Stegostoma tigrinum: one gene and its partner. The protein of the gene in region 2 interacts with the protein of the main gene of each other region in a pairwise test. Links are inferred from orthologs where the notes say so. Each region holds a gene or a part of one and is shown on either strand. Other genes may lie near its edges. The genes, in order: uncharacterized protein LOC125458671 and poc5.

Region 1 (12,359 bases), on a different chromosome or scaffold from region 2:
ACAAATGGTTATAAAACTGCGATGTATAATTTCTTACCTGAACACCTGCTTCTTTACATGCTTCAATTATCGTTTTAGTCCCAATGTAATTAACCTTATAGAAGAGCTCTCGGTTGTCACTAGAAGGTGCTGGAGAGGCACAGTGGAACACGAGGCTCACACCCTGAACTGCTGGCAGTATATCCTAAAGAATCACAATTTATTAATTCACAACTTCATAGTTTGTAATTTTACTTTCAATACACAAAGACACTTAATATCAAAATTATCTAGAGGCACAACCTGTGGATATTTGCTGAATAACAATCATTTCTACGTTGCAACTAAATTCAATATCTGAGATTTTAGGTGAGGGTCTAGGCTATACCAAAACTAAATCAATCTGTGGCATAACTTCGCCAAGATGTCTCCAAGAAAACTTAGCTGTCAGATCCATCGTGATGACCACAAAAGTGCTAAAAAAAAAAGCAGACAGCAAATACTATCTCTATCAAATCACATTAACATTTCTGATAGGTGGCTCCTGTTAGAATATATTCCATTGACATTCAGCTGAGAGCACAAAGAAGGTCCGTTATCATAGACATTCACCTCAATTTCCCGTGTTGTGGTACATTCGGGATAGAGCATTGATATAACAAGGGGAGCACTCTGAGAGACAGATCTCCTTAAATTTCATTGATGAACATCTCAGAAGTACAGTTTGGGAAAGAATAAGCCATTACATTCATTGAATACATTCCTACCACATAGTTTGTGCCATTAAAAATATGTGTATATACACACACAACACTAAGATGTACAGTTCATAATTACAGTTCCCCTCTGAAAGTGACCGTAACTTCAGCACATCAGATAAACACATCAGCACAGAAATTCTGAAGTTACAGTCTGTCACACAGAGTTCCAATTTAGGAACTCACTTCTCAGTAAATCAATTGTTAATTCTTCACCCTCTACCAAAGCCTACATTGATTGGAGAAACTTTCTGCTCATCCAATCCTTGATGTCAGTAATCTGTCGGTCAGTCTGATAACAGGGAATTTGAGGGAGGTAGTGGTGAGGCAGAGCTGTGTGGCGTCAGCATACCCATGAAAAAGTTTTTCTCCAGTAACAATGTCAAGTCAGGAACAAGTGTTGTCAGTCCTAGATAATATTTTTTAAACTGAAGGCTTGTGTTAAGTTCAGTTAACAAAATTAGAGTCATACAAAAAAAGGAATGATATATCACTGGCAAATCAAATATTACAAAGCCGAGCTGTTTCTCTTTATGCATGCTGCTGGCATCATGAGAAACTGAGACATCAATATTACAATGTTAAAATGTACCTTATACCAACCTCTTTACAGCACAAATCCGCACTGAAGAACTGAATTCTTTCATTCTCAACAGGTTTTCGAACATCCAAAATATTAACAGTGTAGCCTTTTTCCAGAAGCCTCTTCACCAAATGCTGACCCAAGAAACCTGAGCCCCCGATAACTGTACATTTCTTATTGTGCTATAAAACGAAAAGTCAGTCAAAAGTAAAACATATTACATTTTTGTCATCTATAAAATGCACAGCAGGCCTGCCAGCATCTGAGGAGGAGAGTTAGTGTTTCAAGTTAATAATCTTTCATCGAAACTGGGAAAAGTCAGAGATGTAATAGATTTTGAGCAGGTAGAGGTAGAAAAAGAGCAAGGGAGAAGGTCTGTGACAGGGTAAAATGCAGGGGTATTAAACATCAGGAGGGAACGTATTATCACAAGGATCAATGCTCCAAAGCCACAATCAATAATGGGGCAAGTAAAGGAATAAAAGATATGTGTAGGCAACATGAAAAACTGCCAACCAAAAGGAAAAAAAAACAAAACTTTTTCAATATCTTTGTTGAAAAGCCAACAAGGAAACAAAATGGGAGCAGAGGTTATAATCTAAAATTGTTGATCTTAAAATGTCATGGGGAGATTACAGTGACCAGAAATTTAACTGGCCTGCGATGCATAAATAAAGTGGCTACCAGAATAGGTCAGAGGTTGGAAAGTAGGTCATCTTCTGCTCCCCTCATCCCTATCCACCACCTACAGGACACAAATTGGGACTGTGATAAAATATTCCCCATCCACCTTCAACATTTACTCCCTTCATCACCAACTCTCTGCGGTAAGAGGATGTCCGATTAACAAGCTGCTCTATATTAATTCATCAATGCTGCTCTCACAGCATCTACCCAACCTGGAACCTCGAGATCTTAGAAGACAAGTGCTACAGATGCATGGGAACACCACCCATTGCAAGGTCTCCTCCAAGCCACTATACCTTGGAACTACATCACTGTTCTTTCACAGTCACTGGCTCAGAATTCTGGAACAACTTCCCTAAAAGCCCTACAAGTCTACAAGCACCCCACAAACTACCACAGTTCAAGAAGGCAGCATGCCATCACTTTCTCCAGGATGATTAATGCTAACTTAGCCAGCGACACCAACATCCCAAGAACAACAAAAATAACTCAAAACCTCTAGCACTTCTAATGCAAGTTCCTTTTCCATAATCACAGCACCAGGTACCCAGTTTTGATTCCACCCTCGACTGATTGTCTGTGTGGAGTTTGCACATTCTCCCCGTGTCTGCATGGGTTTCCTCCAGGTGCTCTGGCTTCGTCCCACAATCCAAAGATGTGCAGGTTAGGTGGACTGGCCATGTTAAATTGCCCGTAGTGACTCAGGGTGTGTAAATTAGGTGGATTAGATATGGGAAATGTTGGATTATAGAGAAAGGGTAAGAGAATGGGTCTTTGGAGGGGCGGTGTGGACTTGTTGGGATGAATGGCCTGCTTCCACACTGTAGGGATTCTATGATTCTAATCAAAGTCTCTCTCTCTACCTGACTGATTGAAATGACCTCAATCTTGTCTCTCCCTTTAGATGCATTCCAGCTATCAACTCCTCCCTTCCTTCCTCGAACCATTCTCGTGTTCCACTTGTTCTCTCATTCTACTCCACCAGACTTTGCAGACAATTGATCATCCTCTGCCATTTCTGCCAGCTCAAGTGTGATGTCAAATACAGTGTCCTTCACTTCCAGCATTCCAAAAGAACCATTCCTTTTGCATGGTGTTGGTCCACTCCTCAGTCATCATTTGTGCAACCATTAAAAAAAGCAATGGATTCTTTTAATAGCAGGGAAAACGTCACCTTTCTCCATGATACCATTCATCAGATCTCAGGTGGCATAATCACAAAAGTGTTACAGTGCAGCAGGCTGCGACTCGGCAGATTGTGTCCGCACCAGCACTTCTAATAAACATCATTAACTGCTGTCAATATCCTGCCTTTTCACTATGTGCACAATATAACACCATATTAGGCATTGGTTCCTTTGGCCTTGCAACATTAATCCTTTTATCAGGTGATGTCTCCTAATTTACACTCTATCACTGTCTACCTTTTGTGATCTTTTCCCTGCCTTCATCCTTTCACTTTCTCCAAGTCTGGGGAGGCTCGTGGACCTGAAGGGTTAAATGCTTCTCCCTTTCGCCACAGGCGCATCCCATACATTTCCAGCAATTCATGTTTTTAGAGTGAAAACGCCAGGTGTATTTGCATAAATGATTCGGGCAGGTGATTACCATTGTATTACAACATAGTCTGCACACTGCATCGACAGTTCCCCATTCTTTGTGTATCCAACAAAACCTCGCAATATTATATAGCATTAGCCCGCAATATCCTTACCCTTAAACGTGTGGCCATCTCCCCAGTAGCAAAGTCTCCTCGTAGATTTTAGAATAAAAGATACAGGCACAGCTAACGACCCGAAGCTCCACCTCTTCAACTACATCGATAATAGTAGCCCTGTCTCTGATTGGTCGACATACCGCTTTTCGGCAACCGTTACCCGGGTGACACATGCATCCTCCAATCGGATTATCGTATGACCATGGGCTGGTGATGGCACGTGAAGCAGTGACCAATCAGAATGGGGCTTCGTTTCACCCACAGGTTACCCATTCTCCGGGTCAATCGGATGAATGGGCAGGGGTTGGAAATGAAGAATTGTGGATGCTAGAAATCAGAAACAAAAACAGAAATTTCCGGGAAAACTCAGCAGGTCTGGCAGCATCTATGCAGAAAAAGCAACATTAACTTTTCGCTTCTAAAAAAGGGTCACTGGATCCGAATCGTTAACTCTTTTCTTTCCACAGATGGTGCCAGACTTGTTCGATCAACTTCTGCTTTTGTTGTTGGTGAATGGTCAGGTCCCGCATAGCTGCGAATAAAAGCAAGACATCACTAAAGTCAAGAGACGAAATAAATACAGTATATTCTGGAGAAATTGAGCAGGTGTGAGAGCATTCAGAATATTGTATTCAAAATATTGTTTCGATTTATTGTCAGAATATTGTTTCTTCCTTCACAGATGGTGCCAGACCTGCTGAGTTTCTTCACATTTATTTATATATAAAGAGTTGGAAAGTTGGAAAAGTATATTTGAGATAATACTCTATTATTTTGTATGGGCTGCTGATGGTCTTATTGGAAACGAGCTGCAAATATGAGAGGCTTGGGCCTGCCAAATGACAAGGAAAGTTTTAGAAGGATATGGGCCAAATTCAGGCAAATAGGACTAGTTTAGTTGGGCGAAAGGGTCTGTTTCCATGCTGTATGACTCTATGGCTCTTCACTAATGGAGGACAAACAAATACAGCAATATGTCTCTCTTGTCTTTTAGCAAAAGAAACGGGACAGGAAAGAAGAGTAAGCTGTTGTAGGCTTCTAATTTCAGTTGTCAATGAAAAGTCAACATTATTTTGGGCAATGTGAAAATGGGAACTGCAGATGCTGGAGAATCCAAGATAACAAAGTGTGAAGCTGGATGAACACAGCAGGCCAAGCAGCATCTCAGGAGCACAAAAGCTGATGTTTTGGGCCTAGACCCTTCATCAGAGAGCAGTTTGGGCAGTTTGTTTGTTTCCTCTGGCAGGCCTGCTTGCAACAGTGTATGGGCTGAAATACAGCTGCCACTGAGGGGGTCCAAATACAGGAAGCATGACCCACTTGAGAAAGTGTGTTGATTCTCAAGCACGAGTATTCCAGGGTCACCACAAAAAGTTAGTGATGAAATCAAAGTAATGTATACTCCTAATTGACCTATTTGTTGGAATAAAATTAACAAAATCAAACCACTGATCAGGTTTTTTGAACATAAAGAATGGCTGTTTATTACAAAGATTTAAATTCAAGTCACAGGTACACGCGATCAATATAACTCTAATCCATTTTGAAACCCTTGCACACATGCACAAACAAAAACAAATTGTTATTTTGGGCGGACAAAAAATACTGAGAACCAGAATTCAATACCACCAGTGGGTAGCTTTAAAATTGTGTTCATTTTGCCAAGACCTTCTGTTCTTTGATAAGAGATAGTAGGAACTACCAATGCTGGAGTTTGAGATAACAACGTGTGTGTAGCTGAATGAACACAGCAGGGCAGGCAGCATCAGAGGAACAGGAAAGCTGACATTTCCACACTTTGTTGTCTTTGATGGGAGAAAATAACTTGTTTGCTTCAGGTACTTTTATTGGAGAGGGAGATACGGATACGAAATTTGCTGTTTTAGCAGTCAAGCGGTTTAACCCCCAATCCAGAGTGTTGACGAGATAATAAAGTGTGAAGCTGGATGAACACAGCAGGACAAGCAGCGTCTCAGGAGCACAAAAGCTGATGTTTTGGGCCTAGACCCTTCATCAGAGAGGGGGATGGGGTGAGGGTTCTGGAATAAATAGGGAGGGAGGGGGAGGCAGACCGAAGATGGAGGGAAAAGAAGATAGGTGGAGAGGAGAGTATAGGTGGGGAGGGGATAGGTCAGTCCAGGGAAGACAGACAGGTCAAGGAGGTGGGATGAGGTTAGTAGGTAGGAAATGGAGGTGCGGATTGAGGTGGGAGGAAGGGATGGGTGAGAGGAAGAACAGGTTAGGGAGGCAGAGACAGGCTGGGCTGGTTTTGGGATGCAGTGGGGGGGAGGGGGCGAACTGGGCTGGTTTTGGGATGCGGTGGGGAAGGGAGATTTTGAAGCTGGTGAAGTCCACATTGATACCATTGGGCTGCAGGGTTCCCTAGCGGAATATGAGTTGCTGTTCCTGCAACCTTCGGGTGGCATGATTGTGGCACTGCAGGAGGCCCATGATGGACATGTCGTCTGAGGAATGGGAGGGGGAGTGGAAATGGTTCGCGACTGGGAGGTGCAGTTGTTTATTGTTGACGTTTGGTTTATGTCATTTCCTAGAATGAAGCATATCCTTACCAAGATTATTGCTGAAGAAGCAGCAGATACCGTGGTTTTCAGGGTTCCACAATTCAAGAGCCCATGACCCTGGTCCGGCGTATTCCTTCTTCCAGTGGGATCACTTCACACAGTTTTGAGGGGGTGAGAGAGACGGAAACCCTTGTTAACACTGATATGGATGAGGGAAACTTTAAGGGTCAGTGGAGGATTTACTGGTAAAGGCTTCACGTCCGATAGGCAGTACTGAGCAGGTCAGAGTGATGAGAAAAACGCACACCACACACTTCCAAATACAAACCGCCAAATTTTTCCAACACCCTCGTCTCCAAGCCAAAAGCTAGAAGCCGTCAACGGCAATTACACCAGACGTCACTAACGTGACAAATCAGAACGAGGGGGCGTTGCCCTGCAGTGGGAACCGCAGTCGGATTGGTGAATATTCAGGCGGAGCCCGCCTACTAGCCAAAATGACTGACGCGTCACCGGTGACCATGGGAATGACCGCTTCTGGACTGCGATTGGTCGGCCGATTGCTATGGAGCTTGAGCGTCTGGAAATGCGACAGCTGGGGAATTGCAAATTTGTTGTTAACGTATTGTCTAGAGCGTGTGGAAATGGCTGCCAAGGTGAGTAAAGGCACTTCTCATCCGATATTCTGACCGGCATTTTAAAACATTCGTGGGAAAGCCGCCAACGGCTGCTGACAAATAGCAGGTGAATAGCGGGAGCATTATGGGGGAAGCTGCGAAATTTGGAAGTGTGTGGGAGTGACAGTTAGGAATCGGGTAAAATGGGGAGAGTCGGATCGTAAAGACCTAATTTGAGGCTTGGGCATCATAAAGCAAAGGCAGAAGGTAGGACGATAAGTGAGTGCACTGTTGACTATTTAACGTACCAATTAAAGGGTTTTGGGCGCGGTTCGATTTCGACTCCACTGTAACCCAGCACAGACGCAGGATGAGCAAGAACAGACAGGGTTTTTCCTCCTGAACCTCGTTTCTAACACATGATAGATAATTCACTTTCCTTTGAACCATTCCAACGTAAACTAAAGGTTAAAAGCACCTTCTGCCAAAATTGCCACTGTTGTCTAGCTGTTTATAAGATTCCGGGAACAGAAGTGAATGCTTTATTAGTTAATTTACCGACATTGTTTTCAAGAAACGTGATGACTTGGGTGCTGAATGCTCTAACAATTACGAATTTAAAAAGTTAATCATCGTAAACACTGGCACATTTGGTGTAGAGTTTAATGAAATAACGGAGCAAGACACCAAAATATTCTAGACTAAATGTTGCACCAAGCACACACTTTTAATTCTTTAAACTGTAGCCCAACGCTGATGTTACTTAGGTGATTTTGATATGCGGGTACAAGAGTACAATTCAAGTTACAGGTTGCTAGTGATGATTTCATCTCTATTTGCATTGGGGCGATGTTAAATTGTGTTCAAAAACGCTCCTGTAAAATGGCTTAAAATACAGGATATTGTTCAATCAGTTGGGTTGGATGCCAATACCCCCTAACCATAAAATAAATACCAATTTTATTTTTGTTGTAATATAAAATCAATACAAAATTGTTGCAGACACATAAATGAGGAACTAGTCCCTTATTAAGGGATTGAATTGATAGAATCCAGCGATCGTACTGGTTGTTGAACACTAACCAATTTTACTGACAAACCTAAAACTCTTTCATTTGTTTTCTTAGTTTATCTAATTCTGACAAGTGTCTTATGATAAAATGGTCCTTGTAAAACTTGAGATATTGTTTACGATCAGGGCAGTAATTTTATGGTTGAATTACAGGCACAGTGTCTCAAAATTGGATATCTCCAGACCAAGATTCTTCTAAATTTTGTGTTTGGGATGACACAGGCATGTAGAGTGTTGAGTGAATGTTTTCTGAAGTAAAGTTTGTAAAGTGGCAGTTATGAAAAAATAGAGATAATGCTGTAAGATAAACTAGGAAAATCTTTGGAGTTAGGGCTGTTAATGGTGTTTTTTCTTTTGTGGAAGTATGGCAGAAGTTCCATGTGAATAGGTTGCCTGCTGCAGTTCAGTGAATTTTTGGTAGAGTGGAAGTAGCTGCAAGCAATTACCCAGACATCTAATTGAATCAAAGATGGTGGTGATAAAAGAAAGTCAAGTGATGACAGCTTTAAAAAAGTCTTGTTTTTGATATTGAAGGTTACTGAACAGATGGATATGAAGCATTTTCTGTACAGATATCAGTTAGGGCATATGACAGAGAAATTGTTTAGAGACATACTTGGTTAATTTTCTTGTCATGGCTGGAGTGGGGAGGCTCCTTTCAGTTTAAATGTATACTGATTTCTGATAATTGCACAGCATTTAAAAAATCGTTTTTCATTTATGGAATGTGTTTTTTGCTGGCTAAGTCAGTACTTATTGCCCATCCATAACTGCTCCAGAAAAGATGAGGATGAATGGCCTTTTTTTGAATTGCTGGCAGACCTCAGCACATCAACAGTCCTCTGAGAAAAATGTTTCCAGGATTTTAGCCATGGGACAATGAAGGAAGAGCAAGTGACTGTGCTAGGTTTGCAGTTGTCCGCAGGTTGATGCCAGGTGGTCTGTCTGGTTTCATTCATTTCTTTGGACTTTGTAGCAACTTGATACAGTTGAGTGGCAGTTTAGAATCATCCACATTGCTGTGGATCTGAGCATTGATCAGCCAGATGGGGTAAGGATGCTTGCCTCTCTGTCCAGGAAGGCGTTAGTTATGTGGGGATTTTCTTTTACAAGAGTCAATAATGGATTCATTGGACTCACTTTCAATTCTAGATTTATTCATTAAATTCAAACTTCACCAGTTGCCATCAGGGATTTTGAGCTCATGTCTGTATATTATCAGCATAAACCTCTGGGTTACTAGTCCCTAATTATGCAAGGTTTAAGCTTAGTTTTCATATCTCGAACTAATTCTCAAAATTGGCCTTTTAAGCAGGGCAACTCACCTACATGAATTCATCCAGCTTTAAAATAGGAAATAAATGCCAGCTAGTTAGACTTTAAGAGTCCCTGTGATAATATTAGCTGCTTAACAAATTTCAGTTGACAAACTGAAGAAACGATCAAAGTAGCCATATCGGATATCACAGTTTTAAAACAAAACGGAGAGAAAGGAGGATCCAGAGAGTCACCACTATCTAAAAGAGAGAGAGAGAGAGAGAGAGGGAGAGAATCTGTGCTTAGAAGTAACACGTGTGGAAACAACAGCTTCATGAAGATTGAGTCAGAGGGAGAGTGGAGTCAGAATCTTCTACAATGTGAGAAAGTGGGAACAACAGCTTGATAAAGAGTGATCGATTATTCCAAGAATTTTTCTGAAGATGGGTCTAGACCCGAAACATCAGCTTTCCTGCTCCTCTGGTGCTGCTTGGCCTGCTGTGCTCATCCACGTCTTTAACCTTGTTGTCTCTTATTAGGAAGGGATGTCTGCTACCTCCTATTGGTGGTGGTGGGGGGGGGGGGGGCGGCGGAGTTCCAAGACTCTTTTTAACAGTAATACAGGAGCAATGATGTATTTCTAAGTCAGGTTATTGTGTGTTTTTGTTGAGGGCACATTGTTGGTGATTGTGTTTCCGTGCTCCTGCTGATGATGCTGTTCTGGGTGAGGTGCTGTCGGATAAACCTTGATATTTAAAACAAATGAAACAGCCAGGAAAACAGTGACGTTTGATGTTGTGGCTAGCAATCCATTCCAGGAGAAGCCTTGACGAGTTACTACAATGCATGTTGTACAGAGCAGTCATTGCTGAGGTATCATCAAGCGGGCTGCTTTGTTCTGAATAAAGCTGAACTACTTAAAATATTGTTAGAAATGGGTTATCCAGGGAAGTGAAGAGTATTTCGTAACGTTTATGACTTGTGCTTCGCAGAAATAAATATAGAAAAAAGGAGCAGGAGTAGGCCACTCGGCCCATTAAGTTCTGCTACTCAACGTGATTGTGACTAATCTTCTATGCCAACAGCATTTTACAGAGTCCTGGGTGGCACAGTGGTTAGTACTGCTCCCTCACAGTGCCAGGGACCCAGGTTTGATTCCACCCTTGGCGACTGTCCGTGTGGAGTTTGCACATTCTCACCGTGACTGCGTGGGTTTTGTCCGGGTACTCCGATTTCCTCCCACAGCCCAAAAATGAGGATGATGAAAAGGGTGGAACTCAATGATCCCTCTAAATTTTCTGGGGCCTGTGTAGGTCCCAGAGTGGCATATTGCGTTGAGTGGCAGTTGAATTGCGTTTTTTTTTGCCTTTTGTTAATATTTACAGTTACAGGCATTCTACATGTATATGCCAATTTTTATCATTATTAACTATCAAAAACATGCATATATACTATCTCACAACTACAGATATTCGATCTGCTAAAATAAACAACAATTGGAAATTCAGAAGTCTGGGGACCTGTTTGGATTTGGTGCTGTGTTCAAGATATATACTATTTGACCAAAAGAGGATCATAGAATCCCTACAGTGTGGTTTGCAGCTATTCAGCCCATTGGGTCTGCGCCATCTTTCCAAAGAGCATCCCACCCAGACCCAACCCCCACTCTATCATCATAACCCTACATTTACTGTGGCTATTTCACTTAGCCTGCACATCCCTTGTTGGGGCAATTTAGCATGGGCAATCCAACTAACCTGCGCATCTTTGGACTGTGGGAGGATACTGGAGCACCCAGCAGAAACCCACACAGACACAGAGAGAATTGTCTGTGTGGAGTTTGCATATTCACCCAAGGCTAAAATCAAAACCACTGAGGCAGCAGGGCTAACCATTTTGTCACCCACTAGAAAGAGTATAGCACGAACAGAAGGGAAGAAGTACCATGCATTGGGTGGGAATTGAACCTGGACCTCCTGCATAACAGGTGGGAATTCTACCACTGTTCCTGAATTGCCACCTCCTTACTAGCAGTTTATTAACTCCTTTATTGACGGTCTTTTATACCAATCTTAATTTGCTGCCCAACGATTGTAAACTGCATTTGGATTAAAATTTGTCCAGATGAAATGTATGACCCAACTTGTATCAAATTGTCCCAAGCGATCTATTCTAATCTCTTTGTGGATTTGCACTTAATCAAATTCATGAGGCTAAATCTACACTCGCAGTCAGCACTTGATGCCTGAAATAGCCCACCAAATCACTGAATGTTTGAACAGAACGTATGTCCACAACCATAAATTTGAAATCGGACCATTCTTCATGTATCTTTTCAACCAAAATAATACAAATGTGTGGTTATAAAGTGAAATGTTTCAATATGTTGCACAATACTGTGTTTTCCAAATTCATAATCTGTTTTCTTGGTTTCTTGCAGCCTGGTTAAATGCATGCCACTCTCGTAATTCTTCTTGTGGAAATCTTACCAGATAGTCATGTAGGCATTGAATAAATTTAAAGATTGTGGTAGCGTTCACATCACTGAGAGCAGCCAGAACCTTCTTCACTCCGATAAAGAAGTTCACCTAGATACCGAGTCCTCAGTTTAGTGAGGCGTCAGGAAATTGCATAGCGTCAATTGTTGTCAAAGAGCTTTTCTGCAGGAATTTGCACAACGATGCCAGTTCACTGAGACTGTCATTCAAAGCAGTCAATGCAATGCAATATTTTGACTTTGTGAGCAGTTTCAGGCAATATTTTATTTTTTGGATCATTGCGCTTATTCACTTGCTGTCTGCAGTACTCCATTGAGCTATTGTGGTTTTTATGTTAGAGCACTCACTGCAAAATGTCTTGACGGCCACTTCACATCATTCAGAGGTTGAAATGCAACTGTATTACATTCTTTGACGAGGACAATTTGAAGATTTTATTTTCTGTTCTTCACAGTTGATCATTTTACATAGTTCCTTTGAAGCATTTTAATGTCTTGCATAATTGACACCTCTGTCCAAACATCAATTCCCAGATATTTTCTATGAGCAATGCAATGCTCTTCTGATGAATGTTTAATTTTGCATCACAAGACTATGGCTACTTTATCTTTCCCAGCATAACTGCTCCGTCTAATGTAAACATCACCATTTTCTGTAAGTCAAGGTCAC
Region 2 (12,914 bases):
CAGACCCATGCCTCTACCCTATCCCTGTGACCTTGTATTTGCCATGACTAATCCATCTATCTTATACATTCCTGGACACTATGGACAATTTTGCACAGCTAGTCCACCTAACCTGCACGTCTTTAGACTGTGGGAGGAAACCTGAGTACCCAGTGGAAACCCACAGACAGGGGCAGAATCTGCAAATTCCACACAGTCACCTGAGGGTGGAACTGAACCCGGGTCTCTGGCGCTGAGGCAGCATTGCTAACCACTCCTAAGAGCTACATTGATGGGATGTAGGCATCACAGAATAGGTCAGCCTTTATTTCCCATCACAAATTCCCCTTGAAGTGTTGGTCATAGTGATGGCAATCTTGAACCACTTCACTCGTTTTATTCTCAGAACATCATAATGCTGTTATGGAGGGAGTTGCAGGATTTTATTTTAGTGACACTGAAGGAATTTTGAGTCAGGATAGTGAGTGGCTCAGAAAGGCCAGGTATCCACGTATCTGCTGCCCTTATCCTTTTAGGTGGAAGTGGTCACAGGTTAGTGAGGTGCTTTCCAAAGAGTCTCGGTGAATTTCTGCAGCATATCTTACAGATGGTATACATTGTTGCTACTGTGTGTAAACAGCAGACGCAATTAATGTTTACGGATGCATCATTGCAAGCAGCACTCATAATAGAGATTAATGGGAACTGCAGATGCTGGAGAGTCTGAGATAACGTGTGGAGCTGGATGAACACAGCAGGCCAAGCTGCATCTTAGGAGCACAAAAGCTTTTGTGCTCCTAAGATGCTGCTTGTCCTGCTGCGTTCATCCAGCTCCACACTTTGTTATGTCAAAATAAGTATGGCTGGTTGGCAAATTCAGTCCTCAAAAGTCCCAGTGATCCTGAAAATTGGCCAGGGGTATACCAGATAACTGCGGAATGGGCAAACACGATGAAGAATGACAAAATTTGAAAGAAGAAATTCATCTAATCATAGGGAGGTAGCAAAAGGGAATGTTGAAGCAAGTTTGGATGGAGAGGACAGACTGAAGTTGACTTCAAAACAAATAAAGTTGGGGGTGTGGGAAATAAAAAAAAGGAAGGGAGGATGCCAAGGGGGAACAAACAGTCTTAGCTCAGTTTTCCTTTTGTTGACGGATTTAACTGGAATCAAGAAACTAACAGTACTACTGGCATTTCAAACAGCATAACCAGCAAATGATGGACTGACCTAAGCAGTTCCAAAACCAACAGATCAAATTCAAGCTCTGCAGTTCTGCCACATCCTATCACGATGAAGGACAATGAAACAACTAACCAGAGGCATATCTCTGCAAATAACCCCACCCTCAGTGATATGCGAACCTTGTACTTCACCTCAGTATCACTCACCTGCCAGTATCCAGAGAATTTGATTTATTGCTTGTGATATTGAGACATGACTGAAGACACTGCAAGGATTTTCCCCTGACAAAATTCTGTAAAGGTGAAGTGAGAGCGATCGCTCTTGACATCAAGGCAGTATTTGATCCCTGATTGGAAAAGCAGTTTCTTTTAAAATGTTGCCATTCTACGTGTGGTATCAAGCAGGTTCCTCCTCGGCAGCATTGTGGGTTTATCAACATCAAATGCACTTTGTAGGAGGCGATGCCCCTGTGGTATTATCTCTGGACTGTTAATCCAGAGACCCAGATAACATTCTGGGAACCAGGGTTCAAATCCCGCCATTGCAGATGGTGGAATTTGAATTCAATAACTATCTGGAATTAAGAATCTAATGATGATTGTGAATCCATTGTCAACGGTCAGGAAAAATCCATCCGGTTCACCGATGTCCTTTAGGGAAGGAAACTGCCATTCTTACCTGGTCTGGCCTACATTTGACTCCAGACCCACAGAAATGTGGTTGACTCTGAACTGCCCTCTGGGCAATTAAGGATGGGCAACAAATGTTGCTTAGCCAGTGACGCCCTCATCCCAAGAATGAATAAAGAAAAACAGTAGTATCCACCAAAAGGAACGCTTTCTTAAACAGTGACCCAATGGTTCCTGATTCCCGTATGAGTGGAAACGGTCTCTCCATATCCACCCTGTCAAACGCGGCGTTAATGACTAAGCACAGTGCTGATTGATTGGCATAGGCATTATTGTGGAGAATGTAATGCTTTTTGAAGCATGATTGGTAACTGTTAAATTTTGTTTAAATTTTAAACAAGGCTGGGTCACTTGGATTGGTCAATGCTTTGCCTTGGGGAAAAAATTCTAAAGATCCTATTCTGTTGAATTGAAACAGGTGTAGCAAGTGTACATGTTCTTCCTAGGGGCGAGCCTCAGACAATCTGGAATGGGCTGCCAGTGTAATTTATTGCTGACTCGTATTACTTACGAAATGTTGTCCAGAACATCTACTGTCAGACAGAGTTTAGACACTGCGCAGGCTGTTGCAAACAGAAGTGCTAGGTTAGTGAGTTTTGAGAAGATTTGTAACTCAGGTTGAGGTTCTGGATGCGAGTTTGCTCGCTGAGCTGGAAGGTTCGTTTTCAGACGTTTCGTCACCATTCTGGGTAACATCATCAGTGAGCCTCCGATGAAGCACTGGTGTTATGTCCTGCTTTCTATTTATCTGTTCAGGTTTCCTTGGGTTGGTGATGTCATTTCCTGTTCTTTTTCTCAGAGGATGGTAGATAGGCTCCAAATCAATGTGTTTGTTGATGGAGTTCTGGTTGGAATGCCATGCTTCTAGGAATTCTCGTGTGTGTCTCTGTTTGGCTTGTCCTAGGATGGATGTGTTGTCCCAATCAAAGTGGTGTCCTTCCTCATCTGTATGTAAGGATACTAGTGATAGTGGATCATATCTTTTTGTGGCTAGTTGATGTTCATGTATCCTGGTGGCTAGCTTGCTGCCTGTTTGTCCAATGTAGTGTTTGTCACAGTTCTTGCAAGATATTTTGTGCTAGGTTATTTGACACAACTGGCCAGACTTTGGGATGTACAGACTATATGCCCAGCTCCACATCAGCATCAAAATTTGTATGTTACATTCCTGATCTGCACAATAGGCAGAATGCCTTTTTTTCTTCTGAAAGTGCCCAATTTAAACTTAGATTCAGAATAATGTTTCTCGAAAGTTTGAGCAACAGGCTAAGGTAGCTGTTTCACATTGACTCATTCTGCATAGTAGCAAAGTGGCAGCGGTGATGGGTAATTAAAACTTGAAGAACAGGAGGACTCTGGTAACAGAATCTGTAATAAAAAGCAAAGCTAATGGGGACAATGTAGGCACCATCAGCTGTTGCTAAAAAAATGATTCACTAATGTGCTTACCTGGTCTGGCCTACCTGTGGCTCAATACTCACTAGCATGTGGTTGACTCTTGGCTAATCTTTGTGCAATTAAAGCTGGCCCATGCCAGTGCCATGCGCACTGTATGAACAAGTAATGGTGCTGAAACAAAATGCACATTTTCCTCCCCAAGCAATACATAAAACCTACGCTATCAAACGACTATTCTTTTTAAATATTTAAAGTGTTCAATTATGTTTATCTTTAGATACTCAAAAATGAAATTCCTCTTCCCTACCTGTAGATCAGAAGAAACTGAACTACCTCGATCTGAATCTTTGGGGAGTACAGGGCTGGAAATCCTTTCATCATCAGAGGACATCTGCACAAGAGAAAGCAATCAATTTTTTTTTCCCCCGAGTACTAATCTAGGCCCAGAAGAGAGACAACAAAATCAGTACAATTTTGATAATATCTGTTTACTATTTCAATCTTCTGATCTGAAAAGTATTAATCTTTCTGACCTCAAATTTAACCTGAGCCACCATCCCCCAGTAGATATTATGTTAACATGCTTCTTGCAATCACAGATACAATAAGATGGCTCACGAGAGTCAATTCCCTTAGACTACATACAATGCCACTTAAAAAGAATGTATGAAGTGTGAACTCAAACCCGTTCTTTAAGGGTATTTCCTACAAAAATTAGAGAACAGTGAGCACAGCTTTCTTAAAAAAAACTTTAGTAAGTAAATACTTCAAGGAATTTAATAGGGTCACGATCCAGCTCACCAAAATCAAAGTCTAGTTCTTTTTAAAAATTCTAGGCAAGTTACGAGTTTTCTTACCATTATAATCAATTTTCGTATGGAGGACAAATTTCTAGCTCAAAATGGTATGAGTTTGGCTACTTCCAATTTGATCCTACCTGAATAAATTAATTAATGTAAACAAACTACTTCAGTAGAACATGCTGGTAACAGAATCGTACTTCAGCTACATTTACAATTGCGCAATTTTAAAAAAAAACCCACCAAACATTTTGCCAATCCACTGACATTCATACTAAATTAGTTGAGATTTTCAACTCTTTACATTAAGGGAACTTATTAAGAGCTTCTGAAATTAAGAGCATGAAGCAGTATATTTCTTTCAGTTCTGATTATGAAGGCAGTGCCAGAACACAGGTAGCAGGTTTCATTAAGAAAAAAAAAACCATCATGTTAATCTTTCTCCATGAAAGCCAAAGATACATCTATATTGCAACTTTCAAACAGTGAAACATCTTAACTTATAGGAAGGTAAACAGAAAAATAAACTAATGGTAACTAAGCAAGGAATCATTAGGAAAAGTTTTTAAATTTATTATATAATGGAATGAGAATCATTGGCATTTATTGCCCATCCATAACTGCCCTAGAACAAGTTAGCTTACTAGAGAACGGTTCTTAAGAGTGAATCGCATCACTGTAGAATCTGGAGTAACACGTAGACCAGACAAGGCAAGGATCATAGATGCTCTTCCTCAGAAAGAAGAAGTGAACTAAGAACACAAATAAAAGAAGTCCATTCAGCTTCTCAAGTCTGCCCCACCATTTAACAAGACCACAACTGATCTGCCGATGGTATCGACCCCATTTTCATGCCAGCTCAGAACAGCTGTCAATCTGTGATATTTGAAATGTCTATCTACCTCATCTTTAAACACTTCCAGTGATCCAGCATCCACAATTCTCAGGGATAGAAAACCTCAGACATGATTACTATCTGTGAAAAGAAATTAATTCAAATTTCACTTCTCAATGAGTGACCCCTTATCCTGCAACTATCTCTTATTTAAATATCTTCTCAATATCTACCCTGTCCTTGATAAGTAACCCCTTTCATCCCAGAAATCAACTTTGAATATCCTTCTATGCCAGTATAACCTTTTTTAAAACATACAAGGACCAAAACTGTACACAGTAGAATAAAGTTAATGTTTCAAGTCCAATATTAGTCTTCTCCAGTTATGTCATATTGGTCTAGAACCAATAACTTTTTCACTCTAGATGCTGCCAGACCTGCTGAGTTTTCCAGCATTTTGCGTTTATTTCAGATTTCCATCATCCCACTATTTTACGTTCATTCAGCAAAATTATCATGCATTAAACATTAAGTCAGTCATAGAAGTTAACACAGATATTCGATGGCTTCCATGTTCACCTAAAACATCCTCAATACAAGTCAGTTTCTATGCAGGCACAATCCACGCATGAGAAGGAAATTTATATCAGGATACCTATAGATTAAGTGAATAGGTATAACTGTAGTAGATCGAGATCAATTTAAGGAACTGCTTTTACATCAACCAGAGTCCAAGATATCCTATCTTATAAAAGCAAGCAGTCAAGATGCTGCTGGGTGGGATTCTCCGAGGGTCGGTGTGGACTTGTTATGCCGAAGGGCCTGTTTCCATACTGTAGGGATTCTGTTCTACGTCTCCCGCTGAGCTTTGCCAGCAACTTGTTTTAGTTCCCGATTAACAGCAGCCGTAGATCTTTCGGTTTTTGCTTCATAAGGAGCAGGCGACTGGAACACTGGGCCTGATCGTCAGGAATGAAGTTCGACCCGCGGCTACCGCCGCCTTATTGTTAACGGGACTGCGAGCTTCAGCTGAAGGACCCAGGATATTTAACATAGCTCAGTTTAACCGCGACTAAATCACCGAACACCCTTACCATATCCACCAACCGCCGCTCCTGACCTCCGTCCGTGCTCTCTCCTAAACCGTTTCAAACGGACCGCACGCTAATAACCGCCCAAACTATTGGAGGCTCAGACAAGCAAGGCTCACCCTGATTGGTCTAACCTGCAACACCAACGTTGAACCGCCTTGTGCGCGGATTGGATAGAACTCCCGGATGCGTGTGGTTGCCATGGCGCAGAGACGCGGGACGCTCACCCCCAATTGGCTGGGCGTCTCTCCCAACCCGCGCTTGAGAATTAGCGAGTGATCAGAAGCTTCTTAAGGTCTGCGCTTTGTCAGGGGATAGTGGAGCATTTCTTGGCGCTGACTATTCAGAAAAAAAGAAAATTTCCATTGTCCTAGCCATTTTTAATTTAAAAACCCTGTCATCAAAAATACGTCAACTGATCCACTCGCTATTTGGAGAGCCTAGCAGGGAAGATAGTGCAGCAGCTTTGGCAGGAATTTCTGGGAGTAATTCAGAAATTCATCCCAAGGACGAAGAAACATGTGGGGGTGGGGGTAGGTGATGAAGCAACCATGACTGACAAGGGAATTCAAGGACAAAGTAAAAGTGAAAAGAAAAAGCATCCAACGTGATGAAGACTAGTGGGAAGTCAGAGGTTGGAGAAGCAGTAAGTGTGGGACTTGGGGTGGCGGGGTGTGCAAAAGAAATGGTGGAGGAGATATATTACGTCAGTTTTCACAGTGGAAGACACCAACAATGTACCAGAGCATCAAGAGAGTCAGGGGCAAGAATGAGTGTCGTGGCCACCGCTAAGGAGAAGTTGCTGGAGAAGCTGAAAGGAAATCACCTGGATCAGATGAGATTGAGGAATACTTGGAAGTTCATGGTAGAATAGGGCAGAGTCAGTACAGCTTTGTCAACGGGAGGTCGTGCCTGACAGATCTGTTAGAATTCTTTGAGGAGGTACTGAGCAAGTTAGACAAAGGAGAGACAGTGGACATGATCTATTTGGATTTCCAGAAAGCCTTTGTCAAGGTGCTGCATAGACGGCTGCTGAATAAGGTAAGAGTCTGTGTTAGAGGCAAGGCACTGAGATGAATAGAGGCTTGGCTACCTGACAGAAGGCAAACAGTAGGGATAAAAGGGTCTTTCTTAGAATGGCAGCTGGTGACTAGTGGAGTTCCATGGGTGTCCGTGTTGAGACAGCAACTATTGATGTTATACATTAATGATCTGAACAAAGGAATTGAGGGCATTCTTGCTAAGTTTGCAGATGACACAAAGTTAGGTGGAGGGACAGGCACTGTTGACGAAGAGGGAATACTGCAGAAGAAAATAGCAAGAGAGGCAGATGCTGAAGTCAGAGTCAAAACAGTGTGGAGCTGGATGAACACAGCAGGTCAGGCAGCATCAGAGGAGCAGGAAAGTCGATGTTTTGGTTCATTCACTTCATCAGGATTGCAGAAGGACTTGGAACAGGCTTGGAGAACGGGCAAAGAATTAACGGATAGAATACAATGTGGTTGTGCACTTTGGTAATAAAAGAGGCATAGACTATTTTCTAAATGAGGAATGACTTTGGAAATCTGAAGCAAAAAAGGACTGGCAGTCTTAATTCACAATTTTCTTAATGTTAACTCACAGGTTCAGCTAGCAGTTAGGAAGCCAAATGCAATGTTAGAATTCATTTTGAGATGGCTAGAAAACAAGAGCACAGACGTACTGTTGAGGCTGCAAAGGCTCTGGTCAAACTGCATTTGGAAAATTATGAATGGCTTTGGGCCCCATATCTCGAGAAGGATGTGCTGGCATGGGTACAGAGAAAGTTTATGAGAATGATCCTGGGATGAAGGCCTTGACATATGAGAAGAGGGTGAGGACTCTGGGTCTGTACTTGAAGTAGTTTAGAAGGATGAGAGAAGAATCTCATAGAAACTTACAGAATACTAAGAGGCCTGGATAAGAGTGGATGTGCAGAAAATGTTTCTACGAGTGGGAGAGGCTATGATCTGAGGGTACAGCCTCAGAATGACAGGATAACCGAGATGAGGAGGAATCCTTTTCAGCTAGAGCGTGGTTAAGCTGTGGAACTCATTGCCACAGAAGCCTGTGGAGGTGAAGGCATTGAATGTATTTAAGACACAGACAGGTGCTTGATTAGTAAAGGGAGAAGGCAGGAGAATGAGATTGAGAAACATATCAGCCGTGAGTGAATGGTGATGCAGATTCAATGGACTGAATGACCTAATTCTGCTGTTGTGATCTTATGGTCTGCTGGAAAGTAAACCAATAGAACCTATGATCCAAAAGCAAGATAAACCAATGAAAACAACATAAGATTGTATAAAAACAGCATTAGTCACATTGGAATATTCTAAAATAGTAAAGAATAAGAGCAAAATCAAAAAAGGTAGAAAAGAGAAATGTATACCTCTGCAAAATGTCACACTGGCATATTCAATCAATGTTGTAGTAATCTGGTTTATCTCCCAGCTCATTTTCCTGTAGGGAAATGAGGGAAATGATAATGGGGAACAAAGAAACAGCAGGAGAATTGATCACATACAATGGTTCTGTCTTCACAAAAGAGATCACAAATAATTTCACACAAATCTTGGGGAAACCAACGATCTAATGAAAGGGAGGAATTGAAAAGAAATCAGAGTTTTTAAACTAAATTGTTTAAAGAGAGACAAGTTCTCAAGTCCTGATAATCTGTGTCCAGAGTACCGATAGAAGGGGCCCTGAAAATATTGGATGTATTGGTGGTCATCTTCCAAATTTCTAAAGATTCTGGAGCAGATAGTACAGATTTGAAGGTGGCAAATGTAACTCAACTATTTAAAAAGAGAAGGGAGAAAGAAAAGCGGGCATGGATTAGGTATTGCTTTACAAACCAGCAACAGAGGTTGGGAATAAATCTGTCTTTTTCCAGGTAAACGGTGGTAATTAGTAGTGTATCACAAGGATTGAATGAAGTAACCAAAAGCAATGTTTCCACGTTTGTTGAAAAAAAACTAGATGAGGTTTTGAGTTGTGAGGAAGATTCAAAGAATCTTCGGATCCATAGAGAGAATAATTGTGAGGGAAAACACATGAGAGAATAACATGTCTAAATATGAGCATTTACACACTTTGGTGTGAAAAACAGAAAGAAAGAATGTTATTTAAATCTGAAATACAGGGAAATATGCATATACAAACGGACTTTGTGTCATTGTACACCAGTCAATGAAAGTAAACAAACAGGTACAGCATGAACCTCGGAAAGCAAATTGGCCAATGGTAGAGGATTTTTGTTCAGAAGTAAGGATGTCATAGTACAGCAATACAGGACCTACTACTTGAGCATTGTGTGCCTTTTTGGTGTTCCTGCCTAAGGGAGGCCTGGTCTGGAGGACAGGCCCTATGAAGAAAGGCTGAGGGACTTGGGTCTGTTCTCATTGGAGAGAAGGAGGCTAAGAGGGGATTTAATAGAGACATACAAGATGATCAGAGGATTAGATAGGGTGGACAGTGAGAGTCTTTTTCTGAGGATGATGACTTCAGCTTGTACAAGGGGGCATAGCTACAAATTGAGGGGTGATAGATTTAAGACAGATGTCAGAGGCAGGTTCTTTACTCAGAGAGTGATAAGGGCGTGGAATGCCCTGCCTGCCAATGTAGTTAACTCAGCCACATTAGGGGCATTTAAACAGTCCTTGGATAAGCATATGGATAATGATGGGATAGTGTAGGGGGAGGGGCTTAGATTAGTTCACAGGTCGGCACAACATCGAGGGCCGAAGGGCCTGTTCTGCGCCGTATTGTTTTATGTTCTATGTTTGCTGTAGAGAGAGTGCAGCAAAAGTTCACAAGACTGAAACTGGGGTTAGTAGGACTGTCGTATGAGGAGAAATTGGTTTGACTGGTTCTGTTTTTACTAGAGTTTAGAAGAATGAAAGGTGATCTGATTGAAATGTATAAAATTCTGATGGGACTGGAAAACTGAATGAGAGGAGGTTGTCTTCCTGATTTGGGAAGTCCAGAACCAGGGGTTTCAGTCTCAGTAGGCCATTTAGGACAAAGATGAGGAAACATTTCTTCACTTAGAGGGTGGTCAACCTGTGGAATTCACTAACACAAAAGCTGAATCATTGAGCATATTCAAGAAAGTTTGATAAATTTTTAGTTAGTGAGGACCACAAGGGAGAGCAAGAGGATATATGGCATTGAGTTAGAAAATCAGCCACAATCATATTGAATGGTGGAGCAGGCTCGAAGGGTCGAATGGCTTTCTCCAGCTCCTAGTTTCTATATCTCTGTAGAGTTGCTAAACTATCATAAAAAGGATGATCTTGCAAAGTGATTGGCATTTCAGAATTTAGACAGGAGATGGTAAGAAATGATGACAACAAGATGACCACAACTTTTAAGGAAAATAATCATTCATTGTGCAGATATTACCTAGCCAATTCAAGATTCACAATGAGCTGTTCATGTGCTGCTCATGTGTTTCCAAGACAATTACAGTTCAGGGTGCCTCTGACCACGCACAGGTCATAAGTTTAATAAATGGGTCAATTGGCAAGAAAGAAGACCGGGCACAAAAGGAGAGATTTGGTGGGCATAAGAGAATAAGAGACTTGTACCCAGCCAATCAGTGACATTGCAAAGTGGATTGACTGAAAAGCATTTTTGTTATAAAGTATTATTTATTTTGTAGCTTGCATGATAAACTACATAAATTTGGTAAAACCCATGAAAATATATTTGTACCTGAAATTAGGCTTATATCTAATCAGGATGAGTTAACTGTAGATTGACTCTTTCAAAGTCAGTCTATAAATGTAAGCGACTTAGGACTACAATTCAAGTTAAAGTGACACCCAAAATCTTCAATATGGATCAAGAAACAAATAGAGGAAGAGCTGAATTCTCCAAGGAGATCAGCAGTTTGGGATTGCCACTCGGCTCAACTTTTCAATGTGTGGATTCGCTGAGCCACAAATCTGCACACTGCTCTAAGTCCTAATTCTGTCGCTTGGAGTATGACTGTTTTAGGAAAAACCTGAGGCAAGTTCTTTTCTACATCCTGATGTTTCGGAGAGCTACACTACAATTTAACACAACAGCTAATGCACTGTGACTGGCAATGTCCTTTTGGGAATTTGACAAGTTTTCATTTAAGGGCCTGTAGTGGCGTGACACTCACCATTCGTTGCCTGTGTTTCTTCCAGATCCTGATGACTCTGTAAAATCATGCCATCTTATAACTATCAGCATGGTTGTCAAAGCTCAGATCACCAGATGGTAACTGACAGAAAACTGAATGCAACTCGTTATTCATTTAGCACCTTTGATTTACAAAGATACATAAATATATACCAAGAGATTTCAGCGTACTTCTATTTATATGTGCACAGGAATGTCCCCCACCTGGCTGCAGCTTTCTCTCAATGATTAAATGATTAATTGATTCTTTGCTAGCTGTAAATATAAGTGTCAAACAACAGATACACAATAGAAATTAAGCTTCGAGAAACAAGGTGGAGGACACACCCTTGTCTGAATAGATGGTACTGAGGTAGAGGTGGTCAAGAGCTTCAAATTCCGAGGAGTGACTATCACTAATGATCTATTCTGGTCCATCCCCATGTCTACACTGCTGTCAAGAAAGCACACTAACATGTCTATTTCCTCAGAAGGCTAAGGAAATTTGGCATGTCCACCATGATTCTTACCAAATTTTACAGAAAGGACCCTATCCCGATGCGTCACAGCTTGGTATGACAATTGCTCTGCCCAAGGCCACAAGAAAATACAGAGAGTTGTGGACACAGCCCAGTCCCTCATAAAAACCAGCCTTCCTACCATTGACTCTGTCTCTACTTCCTGCTGTCTCGGGAAAACAATGAACATAATTAAAGACGCTCCCAAGCACGTTATACTCTTTTCCACACACTTCTATTGGGCAGAAGATACAAAAGTTTGAAAACACATACCAACAGATTCAAGAACAGCTTCTTCCCTGCTGCTATCAGACTTATGAAAGGATCTCTCATATGTTAGAGTTGATTTTTCTCTGTAACTTTTGTGCAGCTGTAACACTATATTCTGCATTATGTTCAATTACCCTGATGTACATAGGTAAGGTATGATTTTTCTGGTTAGCTTGCAAAACAATTCCTGAGAGATTACTGTCAATGTATCCATTATCCCTGTAGTTAATTCCTTCAATATTCTGGGATACATTCCATCAGGGATCTATTAGCCTTTAACCCCATTTGTTTCCCTAGCACTTTTTCTCTGGTGATAATTATTATATTTATTTCCTTTCCTCCTTTTCCATATGGTTATTTAGTAATTTTAGAATGCTATTCATGTCATTTATTGTGAAAGCTAGCGCAAAGTATTTATTCAATATGTCCTCCATTTCCTGATTCCCCGTTAATTCCCCAGCCTCATTCTCTTGGGGAACCTATGCTCACACAGGCTTCTCTCTTCTGAACTATGTATTTAAAGAAGCTCTTGCCACTGGTCTTGGTATTACTTGCAAATTTAACCTCATGTATGAAGTATTTTAGACCATAAATAATCTAACTTCAAAATCACAGGATGAATCTTAAAGGGGTCTGCATGGCATGAGCCAAAGCTGGATTGTGGCTGAAATGTGCAAAAAGTCAGGTGAGGCCTAGCTTGACTTTGGGATCATTTCTGCATCTTCTAGGCATAAAGACGAGTTTCTCACTAGGTACTGGCAAGTTGATAATTAGGGGCCTTATTACCAGCAAATCTTAGCTTGTTAATATGCAGCTTCCTATCTCACCAAATGTGCATACAAGCCAGAGGTCATGCATTCTCAACATGAAAGTCTGAGTGGGTACTTAGCAACTTCAGGTTGCCTCTGGCTATGAATGATGTAGAACTGGAAAGGAGGGAATAAGTAACAACAATGGCCAAACTGAGTAATGAGATT

What was found.
Region 1: the proteins of poc5 (region 2) and uncharacterized protein LOC125458671 interact in binary tests that used the Homo sapiens proteins (3 or more experiments, as listed by UniProt). The link is inferred for Stegostoma tigrinum from reciprocal best matches to the Homo sapiens genes POC5 and CETN1.

Annotation. Positions count from the first base shown.
Region 1 is NC_081368.1:48,215,043-48,227,401, reverse strand, and holds the start of uncharacterized protein LOC125458671, read left to right. Parts: upstream 1-6,773; coding exon 6,774-6,902; intron 6,903-12,359. Other genes in the region: nsdhl (sterol-4-alpha-carboxylate 3-dehydrogenase, decarboxylating), read right to left, coding at 38-184, 1,341-1,502, 3,722-3,739. UniProt on the Homo sapiens protein: Plays a fundamental role in microtubule-organizing center structure and function. Plays a role in sperm cilia formation.
Region 2 is NC_081356.1:105,375,512-105,388,425, forward strand, and holds the start of poc5 (centrosomal protein POC5), read right to left. Parts: upstream 6,056-12,914; 5' UTR 5,984-6,055; coding exon 5,981-5,983; intron 5,028-5,980; exon of another isoform or gene 4,954-5,027; intron 3,643-4,953; coding exon 3,559-3,642; intron 1-3,558. UniProt on the Homo sapiens protein: Essential for the assembly of the distal half of centrioles, required for centriole elongation. Acts as a negative regulator of centriole elongation.